Schizosaccharomyces pombe: one gene and its partner. Changing the gene in region 1 together with any one later gene gives a genetic interaction. Each region holds a gene or a part of one and is shown on either strand. Other genes may lie near its edges.

Region 1 (3,886 bases):
TCCAATATTGATATTCACTCTGGTGGAATTGATTTGGCATTCCCTCATCACGATAATGAGTTGGCACAAAGTGAGGCCTATTTTGACTGTCCCCAATGGGTGAATTATTTCTTTCATGCAGGTCATTTGCATATTGAAGGCCAGAAAATGTCTAAATCTCTTAAAAATTTTATCACTATTAAAGAAATTTTAAAGAAGTTTACACCTAGACAATTACGCTTGGCATTCTTACTTCAACAATGGAACACTCAACTCGATTTTAAGGAGACCCTTTTGGCATATGTCTTAAACATTGAACAAGCCTTAGAGAATTTCTTCCGGACTGTTAGAGCTCTCATGAATGAAACTGAAGGTGTAAGCGCTAATGGGGGTCACGTACCTGAAAAATTTGATAAGCTAGAAATTGAGTTACTTGAAAAATTCCAACAAACTCAGCAAAATACCCATCTTGCTCTTTGTGATAGTTTTAATACTCCTTTGGTCATGCAACACATTGATAATTTGGTTACTCAAGCCAACATTTATATTCGTGAAGTTGGTCAACAACCTTGCTCACGTTTACTTGGACAAATTGCATCATGGATCACTTCGATGCTCCAAATTTTTGGCCTCGATGAAAACGGCCACCCCAACGCTGTTGGATGGTCATCATCGAAAGGAAGTTCTTCGGAGAACACTGATGCCATGCCATACATTAGGGCTGTATCTTCATTCCGCGATCGTGTAAGGGAGCTTTGCATTGCTAAAGCTTCTTCTCAGGAGATTCTCAAAGCTTGTGATATATTTAGAGACTATGATATGGCTGCACTTGGTGTTAGTTTTAATGATCGTCCCCAAGGTTCTGCACTTGTCAAACTTGTTGATGCTGAAGAGTTAATTGCTGCTAGGGAGCAAAAGCTTGAAGAGGAGAGAGCTAAGCAAGCTAAGAAAGCACAAGCAAAAGCCGAACAGGAAAAGAAGCAAGTGGAACGTGTTATGAAGGGAAAGACATCACCATCAGAGATGTTTAAAATGTTCAAAGAATACCTTTCATTCGATGAAGCGGGTTTACCTACAAAAATGCGCGGCGAAGACGGCTCGGAAATAGACGTTCCCAAAAGCCGTAAGAAAAAATTGCAAAAAGAATACGCTCAACAAGAAAAATTACATAAGGAGTATTTGTCGTATATTGAATCTAACAAATCTTGAGTGCTAGTCATTTCTAGTGTTTGATACTGGTGTAAAAATAAGAGAGGAAGTCGAATTTTATAAAATCAATATAATACTACCTTTTACAGTGAACTCTTGTTTGTATTTTGATATATTGTTTTATTATAGCAATCTAATTCCCTCAGTGCGCATATCCTGATACAACTTGTAAATCGTTAGCCCTTAATCGCACTGATAGCTACTTTAATGAACAGGTTATGGATGAGTTGGAGATACTTCTTCGTAGATTCCGTAAGTTTAATATAGCAAAAAATGTATATATATATCTACCTCAACTTGCTCAAAGGCGTTTAGCGAGATATTTCACATATAGTAGCTTATTACCCTATTACCTCAATTAGTAATAATTAGCCGCTAAGCTTATGAATTGAAACATGAAGCACTGTTCGACGTTATACAAATTAATTATCCGCCTTTACCAATTCCATTACACATTTTCAAACATTTAAATATTTTAAAAAATGCAGATTGCTATTATTGCTGCTGGTTGTTTTTGGGGAGTCCAAGAAGTGTATCTTAGAAAGTTCATCCCTGCAGCTGCCATTTTAAAAACTTCTGTAGGATATACGGGAGGAATCACTGCAGATCCTACATACAAAGAAGTTTGTACTAATACTACTAATCATGCGGAAGCCTTAAAGATTGAATTCGATGAAAAATTGACTAGTTACGATAAGATTATTGAATTTTTCTTTGCCATGCACGATCCCACTACGTCTAATCAGCAGGGTAATGACATTGGTACTCAGTATCGTTCCGCAATCTTTACTACAAATCCTGAACAGGCAACCATTGCTAAAAGAGTCATGAACGAGGTGCAGGCAAAGCATTATCCTAATAAGAAAATTGTAACCCAAATTCTTCCAGCTGGTAAATGGTGGGATGCCGAAGATTATCATCAGCTTTACCTTGAAAAAAATCCTGATGGGTACAGGTGCAGCTCACGTATGAATATTAAATGCCAAGTAAACCAGAAAGTGTTACTAACTCATTCGATTAGATTTTTTGCGTTGGAATGTTTTTGAGTAAAAGTGACGAAACATAGATTGCGTGTTTCTTTTTCCATTTTGTTTTTCTTAAGTTGGGATTGCAAACTTAGTTATGTGGTACAGACCAAGACTGGTCTGAAGCTAAGTACGATGTCAAAATGCTACTTAATTAGTACTATTATTGTTGTGAGTTCCAAAAATCATATAGTTTTGTTCGCATATAATTATGCAACTGATTAGAAATTTACTTCTTTCAACGTTCTATATTTCCTTGTTCGTTGAGTGCATTAGTCCATGTAGAAGAAGGGTTTTGGATGTATGGAAGTAGATCATTAAGTGTATCATGTGCTTCTTTAGCTAAATTTTTTTCATTCATTCCATAAACTGTTTTCTCCAATTTTTGAATTAACGATTGCATTCTGGATATACAATCTTCAGTTGCTTTTTCTTCCCGCCGCGATCTGTGTCGATAACCCTTCATTTTCTTTGTCAATATCCAACAGATCCTGATTAAGCTTATCAAGAAGTTCTCTTTTATGAGAATACAAATGTGCTTTTAGAATTTCTTGAGGCTGTTTATTACTAATGTCAACCTCTGACTCTCCATGCAATTTGCGAAATTCAGCATCATGAATGCATTCATCTAGCATATCCAATTTTTTGTTTAAATCTCTTTCTTTAATCAGGTTTGCGTACTCTTGTTTACACGATTTCTCAAAGAACTCAATCAGCTGCTGATGGATGACTGCTATAACTTTCCCCTTTTTCATGGAAGGAAAACATTGTGCGAACTTTTCCAAAGGAATGTGAGCTATAGTTTCTGACAAAGTTCTCGATAAAAAGGCATCCAGCTGCTCCTTTCGACTAGTCATATAAAGTAATCCCAAATAATTTATAGTAATTTAAGCCTGAATTAGCGACAAAGATGAACTTGCGAAGCAATGAAAATACGTTTGAATAACAGCAACGTTACTATTTAGATTTTTTGTGTAAATCTATCTTAAATAAAAGAAATTATGAACGTATTACTGTAATTCAATTGTCTTTAATTCACTCCTAAATGGCATGGGTCCGAAAATATATATAAAATTGGTTCAGAATTAGCTTTTCCTAGTTGTTCTCAGATTTTTAAGTAAATTCACGTTTGTCGTGTGGTCCGGGAGAAATGCTTTGTTTACATTGAACATAGCGTAATGCATTGCAGTTTCTAATAATTTCTTATAAGCGAGGGCTAACTACTTTTATATTGGGGAACTTCTGACAGCTGAAATCCTGCTGTTTGCCTTTGCGTGCATTCGCTCACTTGATGGATATTTTTCATAAAAGTTACAATGTGATTCTATCACCTCCCAAAGTTCAGCAGGCGGATGAAACGATATCGAAGCTCTGTGATCGGTTGGAACATGCTACGCTTTTTGAAGATCGAAAAGCTGCTGCTCTCGGAATTAAGAGCTTTGCGAGAGAGTTTAAGGAGGTATGATTTTTTTAAATACTAGTTTGAGGTTGCTTTTTTATTTAATTTTGTTCGATTGGGACTAACAAATTTAGCTCGTGGCTGCTCATGGCTTAAAAGGCATAATTCAATCTTTACACAGAGACTATGATGATCCTGAACTTTTAAAAGTTACTTTAGAAACATGCTTAATTTTGACGCGACACGATGACGACTCAAGAGCTTCAGATACTGG
Region 2 (5,188 bases), on another chromosome or scaffold:
GCGAGCCAACAACGACACCACCCCTTGGTCCGGGTGGCATATTTTTAAAAAGGAGCTCCAAATCAGAAAATTGAGAAGCACCATCTGCATCAGCAAAAATTGCATATTGACCTCTAGCGTACAACATGCCCCAAGTTACCGCACCGCCTTTACCACGATTCCGTTTGAGTGAGCAAACTCGTAAATGATCCCGCAAATCCAGTTTGTTAGAAAACTCTAGCACTGCATTCACCGTCGTATCCTTACTCTCGTCGTCAACTATAAGGATCTCCCACCGACGTTGTCCTGCTGAAGAAGAGGAACGATAATATTTTTCCAAGTGATCGACTGTCTCTTGGAGCATGTTTCCGATTCGTTTAGACTCATTATACGCGGGAACAATGACCGTTATTTGTATATTATCAGAAGTGCTCCACTTCTCAAGAGTCAAACTTTTTTTTTGACCGTTCTCAATGAATACACATGTTTCCTCTCCTTCCAGTTGCTTCCTCGGGCAATGAGAATGAGTTAAATAATAGTAAACCTATATTTGGGTTAATGAATATTCGGGGAAAAATTTGGTCTAATGTCACATCAAAAAATCGAAAGTACAGATAAACTAAACAGGTTCTGCCCGCAACGACCTTATTTACCGACGGGTGGACATGAATGAGAAGCATGCTAGCTAATATTGCTTACCAAGAACAAAAGGATAAATCCCGCAAGGCAGGTGTATAAAACGATGTATACTACCATGTCGTAACTATGCAAAAAGCAGAAGGGTTAAGATTTATGATATTGGAAGAAATAACTCATTCAAAAAAAAAATTACTCCACTCCGTTTATACTCTAAGCTATTTTTTAATGAAATCCGAGCTTTTGCAGTTACAAAGCATGCGGTGGGATTATTTGTGTTTGGCTCTGGCTAACTGCCGACTGGACTGGACAACAGTAATCGTTTAGTCATAGCAGACGAATTTTTTAGTACGAGTTGGTGAGTAGCAGTCAACAACTTAAAATGTCTACTTTTACAAGCAATTAAGCATAGACATATCGATTACAATAGACTCTCATTGTTGCTCAACTTCTGATAGATCACAAAAGTCAAGCATACTTGTTATAATTATATAATTATTTTGACTATTTGGGAGACATTGTATTAAAAGAATAGGTGCCTTTACTCTTTCCTAAAAAACTTACATGACTGTAATTCTGCGTGGATATAAATATTTTTTCATGGAACATCGTATGATATATCTTACGGCTACTTAGTATTAAGGGCGCAAGTTGTTCAATTGCCTTAACCTTTTTGAATAGGATGAACTACAGGTTTGGCTGGGTCATAAAATATGTCTTGAGTATTCCTTCATTTGTAAATTGATAAACTAAAACACTTAACGTTGAAAACACTTGTTTAAAATTGGCTTCAAGTCAATTAATTGTAAATTTAAGGAAACTAGCAAGTAATCATTATTTAGACCAAGCGCCTGTTTATTTAACATTATTACACCTTTTCCTTATCGATTCGTTTATCTTCGAAAGTTGATCTCGCAGAGTCCTGATCCATGAAATGACTTTTTATAAAACATTAGCCTTTGTAATTTTTTTAATAAATTCATCCTTTTCATACATGATTTTACTGAAATTACGGTTAAAACTGTTATATTTATATAAGATAACAAAAAAGTCTCGTTGTTTGAATAGCATATTATGAAGTACCCGTATACCAAACTCGGTTATTGATTACCGTTCAATTAATGTTGTCTAACAAAATACTAAGCAGACCGTTAAATTAGGTTGAGATAAAAGTTTATAAACTTACCACTTCTCCTTTCACCATAACCGAATAGGAAAAAAAATCTTGGTATTCAAGTGTTTTTGGGTAACTTTGGAATTTAACAAATTAGCAAATATAGTTGCTTACCGTTCCTGGTACTAAAAAACCTAAAATTTTTATTGCTGCGCAATACCGTTAGTTTTGGTTTTTTTTCGTAAAAACTTTCTGGTTTTTCGATTTTTTGTTTTTCACGCTTAAAAGAAGAGAAGCTAATTGTATTTGCTTACTCAACACAAAAGCAAGTAATTCATTCTTTGTGTTAAACCTTACACTAATCTGCTTTTGTCAAAAAATTTTTTTTTGGTTATTTAAAACTCCTACCATTGAGTTTTGTTAGTTACATCTTTGAGAACTCAGTTCTATCAAAAAATTTAGTTTCTTTCATTTTTTCAAAATTTGACTATCAATCGTTTGATAAAAATGGAATCTCAATCTCCGATTGAATCAATTGTCTTTACTGACTCCTGTCATCCGTCTCAGCAAGAAAATAAATTTGTTCAGCTTATTTCAGATCAAAAAATTGCAATTGTTCCCAAATTTACGTTGGAGTGTGGCGACATCCTTTACGATGTTCCCGTTGCCTTCAAGACTTGGGGTACTTTGAATAAAGAAGGAAACAATTGTCTTCTTCTTTGTCATGCTTTAAGTGGTTCTGCTGATGCTGGAGATTGGTGGGGTCCTTTACTCGGTCCTGGTCGTGCGTTTGATCCATCACATTTCTTTATCGTATGCCTTAATTCTCTTGGTAGCCCATACGGAAGCGCCTCTCCTGTTACATGGAACGCTGAGACTCATAGTGTTTATGGGCCAGAATTTCCTTTAGCAACCATACGTGATGATGTAAACATCCATAAACTTATTTTACAAAGATTGGGTGTAAAGCAAATTGCTATGGCAGTAGGTGGCTCCATGGGTGGTATGCTGGTTTTGGAGTGGGCATTTGATAAGGAATTTGTGCGATCAATTGTTCCCATTTCTACCTCTCTTCGTCATTCCGCGTGGTGCATTAGCTGGTCTGAAGCGCAACGCCAGAGTATATATTCTGACCCTAAGTTTAATGATGGATACTACGGCATAGACGATCAGCCTGTAAGTGGCCTTGGAGCTGCTCGTATGTCTGCCTTGTTGACATATCGCTCCAAATGTTCTTTCGAACGTCGCTTTGCCCGTACTGTTCCTGATGCGTCTCGTCACCCCTATCCAGATCGTTTACCCACTCCTCTCACGCCCAGTAATGCACATTGGGTCGTTCACAACGAAGGAAACCGTAATCGCCGTGAACGACCTTGTCGATCCAATGGATCATCACCTACTTCTGAAAGTGCTTTAAATTCCCCCGCCTCTTCTGTCTCGTCTTTACCTTCTTTAGGTGCCTCTCAGACTACAGACAGTTCTTCCCTTAACCAGAGTTCGTTATTAAGACGTCCTGCTAATACTTACTTCTCTGCGCAATCGTATTTACGTTACCAAGCGAAGAAGTTTGTAAGTCGCTTTGATGCTAATTGTTACATTTCGATTACTAAAAAGTTGGACACCCATGATATTACTCGTGGACGCGGTTCAGACTCTCCTAAGGAAGTCATGAAGGATTTGTCTTTACCCGTACTCGTACTCGGTATTGAAAGCGATGGTCTTTTCACATTTGACGAACAAGTTGAAATTGCCAAATCTTTTCCCAATGCTACCTTGGAAAAAATTATTTCGGCCGAAGGCCACGACGGTTTTTTGCTTGAGTTTACTCAAGTAAACTCACATATTCAAAAATTCCAAAAGGAACATTTAATTGATATCATGTCTCAAACTAATTCCTTTGAGCGACTTGATTCCCAAGTTAATGATACCAACCGCGAAAGCGTTTTTGGAGAAATGGAAGACATAACCTCCTGGTAAGTAAAGTGTTTTTAGGATTGTTGATAACTTACCAATAGTTATCCTACTGGTTACCATCCTGGTGTTACAGTGGTATAAGTATCCTACGGACCAACGGCCTGGGGAGAAAGATCGTGTGCTAGTTTAGTCAACTTGAGGATTCAACTCCTCATGTATAAACACGATCACTTTCGTTAATGAGCTTGAAACGTATATTATGACTATTTTATTTAAAAAGGATGTTAATTTTCAAAACATGGTTTTTTTCGTTAGCTTTTCAACTTCTCATTCCACCTTTCTTTTCTTATTGTTTTGTCAATTTAGGTTCCTGCGGGCAGTGAATTAGAGAGCGATTGAGCTGGATGGTTTCCTTGTATGCCTTTCTTTAAGAAAGAAGAAAATGTAGTATACATTGATAGAAATTGCCAAAACCTTGTTAAACCTATTTCAACCCTTTCTGCATTCGTCTAACCGATTCTTGGATAGATATGCATCTTCTTGAAGAGTGATGCGTATATGGAAATATTCCAGTTGTATCTAGCGAAATCACTTTGCCACAATATGAAATTTGAAAATTACATTCTCACCCCTCCAACATGGGGACTAATTCTTTTTTAATGCCACCAAAAAAAATTCTATGAAGCGTTTGTTGATGGGATTTACAGTCGTTCAGTGTTTAATATATAGATTTTATAAAAACAATGTTTAATAAACTATTTTGTTTTTTTTTTGTTGAAAGTTTTATTTCGTGGATAAAGAGAATACAATTCGATATACTATGGAAAAACAAATGTAGCAATCCACCGTGGTATGAAGAGAGAGCAATACAGCATAGGATAAGATTATTGGAACTCGGACTAGGAAGCGGATATCTGGGGCAAAATCAAGATTGCTTCTTCCGGGTTCGTAGAGTTAGCGACAGATCCTTGCCGGTCATGAGGAAAAACAACGCACCGACCGTATCCAAGCTATGGTTTACATCACAACATACTGGGTCAATCATTTATGAAAGTGCTTATTTCGAGAACACAAAGCTCTATATTCACGTGCCTTTACACCGGACATGATAAAAATCTTGTTAAACTTGAAAAAGGAGTATTCTGGTGGTTTTGTTTACATTTTTATAACACAATACAAGCCGCTACGTTATCTTTCTTTTCCATCAGCTGTTACTTAGACGGAAGCACAAGAAGCAGTCACAAAGCAGTAGAGAGAAATTCAGTATATCTAGAAGAGATACTTGCCAAGAACACCAGTTCCAAATCAAAAATTTTTGGGTAAAAAATGTCTTTCCGTAATTCCTCTAGAATGGCCATGAAGGCCTTGCGTACTATGGGTAGCCGTCGTTTGGCTACTCGTAGCATGTCTGTTATGGCTCGCACCATTGCTGCCCCCAGCATGCGTTTTGCGCCTCGCATGACCGCCCCTTTGATGCAAACTCGCGGTATGCGTGTTATGGACTTTGCCGGTACCAAGGAGAACGTTTGGGAGCGTTCTGACTGG

What was found.
Region 2: mutations in mxr1 (region 1) and met6 impair growth when combined (synthetic growth defect), as found in Schizosaccharomyces pombe (one study listed by BioGRID).

What each region holds. Positions count from the first base shown.
Region 1 is NC_003424.3:4,408,957-4,412,842, reverse strand, and holds mxr1 (peptide methionine sulfoxide reductase), read left to right. Parts: upstream 1-1,616; 5' UTR 1,617-1,670; coding exon 1,671-2,154; intron 2,155-2,209; coding exon 2,210-2,238; 3' UTR 2,239-2,451; coding exon of another isoform or gene 2,452-2,651; 3' UTR 2,652-2,652; coding exon of another isoform or gene 2,653-3,070; 3' UTR 3,071-3,165; downstream 3,166-3,886. Other genes in the region: SPOM_SPAC29E6.06C (cysteine--tRNA(Cys) ligase Crs1), read left to right, coding at 1-1,188. UniProt on the Schizosaccharomyces pombe protein: Has an important function as a repair enzyme for proteins that have been inactivated by oxidation. Catalyzes the reversible oxidation-reduction of methionine sulfoxide in proteins to methionine.
Region 2 is NC_003423.3:4,087,875-4,093,062, reverse strand, and holds met6 (homoserine O-acetyltransferase Met6), read left to right. Parts: upstream 1-1,814; 5' UTR 1,815-2,236; coding exon 2,237-3,702; exon of another isoform or gene 3,703-3,744; coding exon 3,745-3,784; 3' UTR 3,785-4,377; downstream 4,378-5,188. Other genes in the region: dolichyl-phosphate beta-glucosyltransferase Alg5, read right to left, coding at 1-523, 679-735; ilv5 (acetohydroxyacid reductoisomerase), read left to right, coding at 4,970-5,188. UniProt on the Schizosaccharomyces pombe protein: Commits homoserine to the methionine biosynthesis pathway by catalyzing its O-acetylation.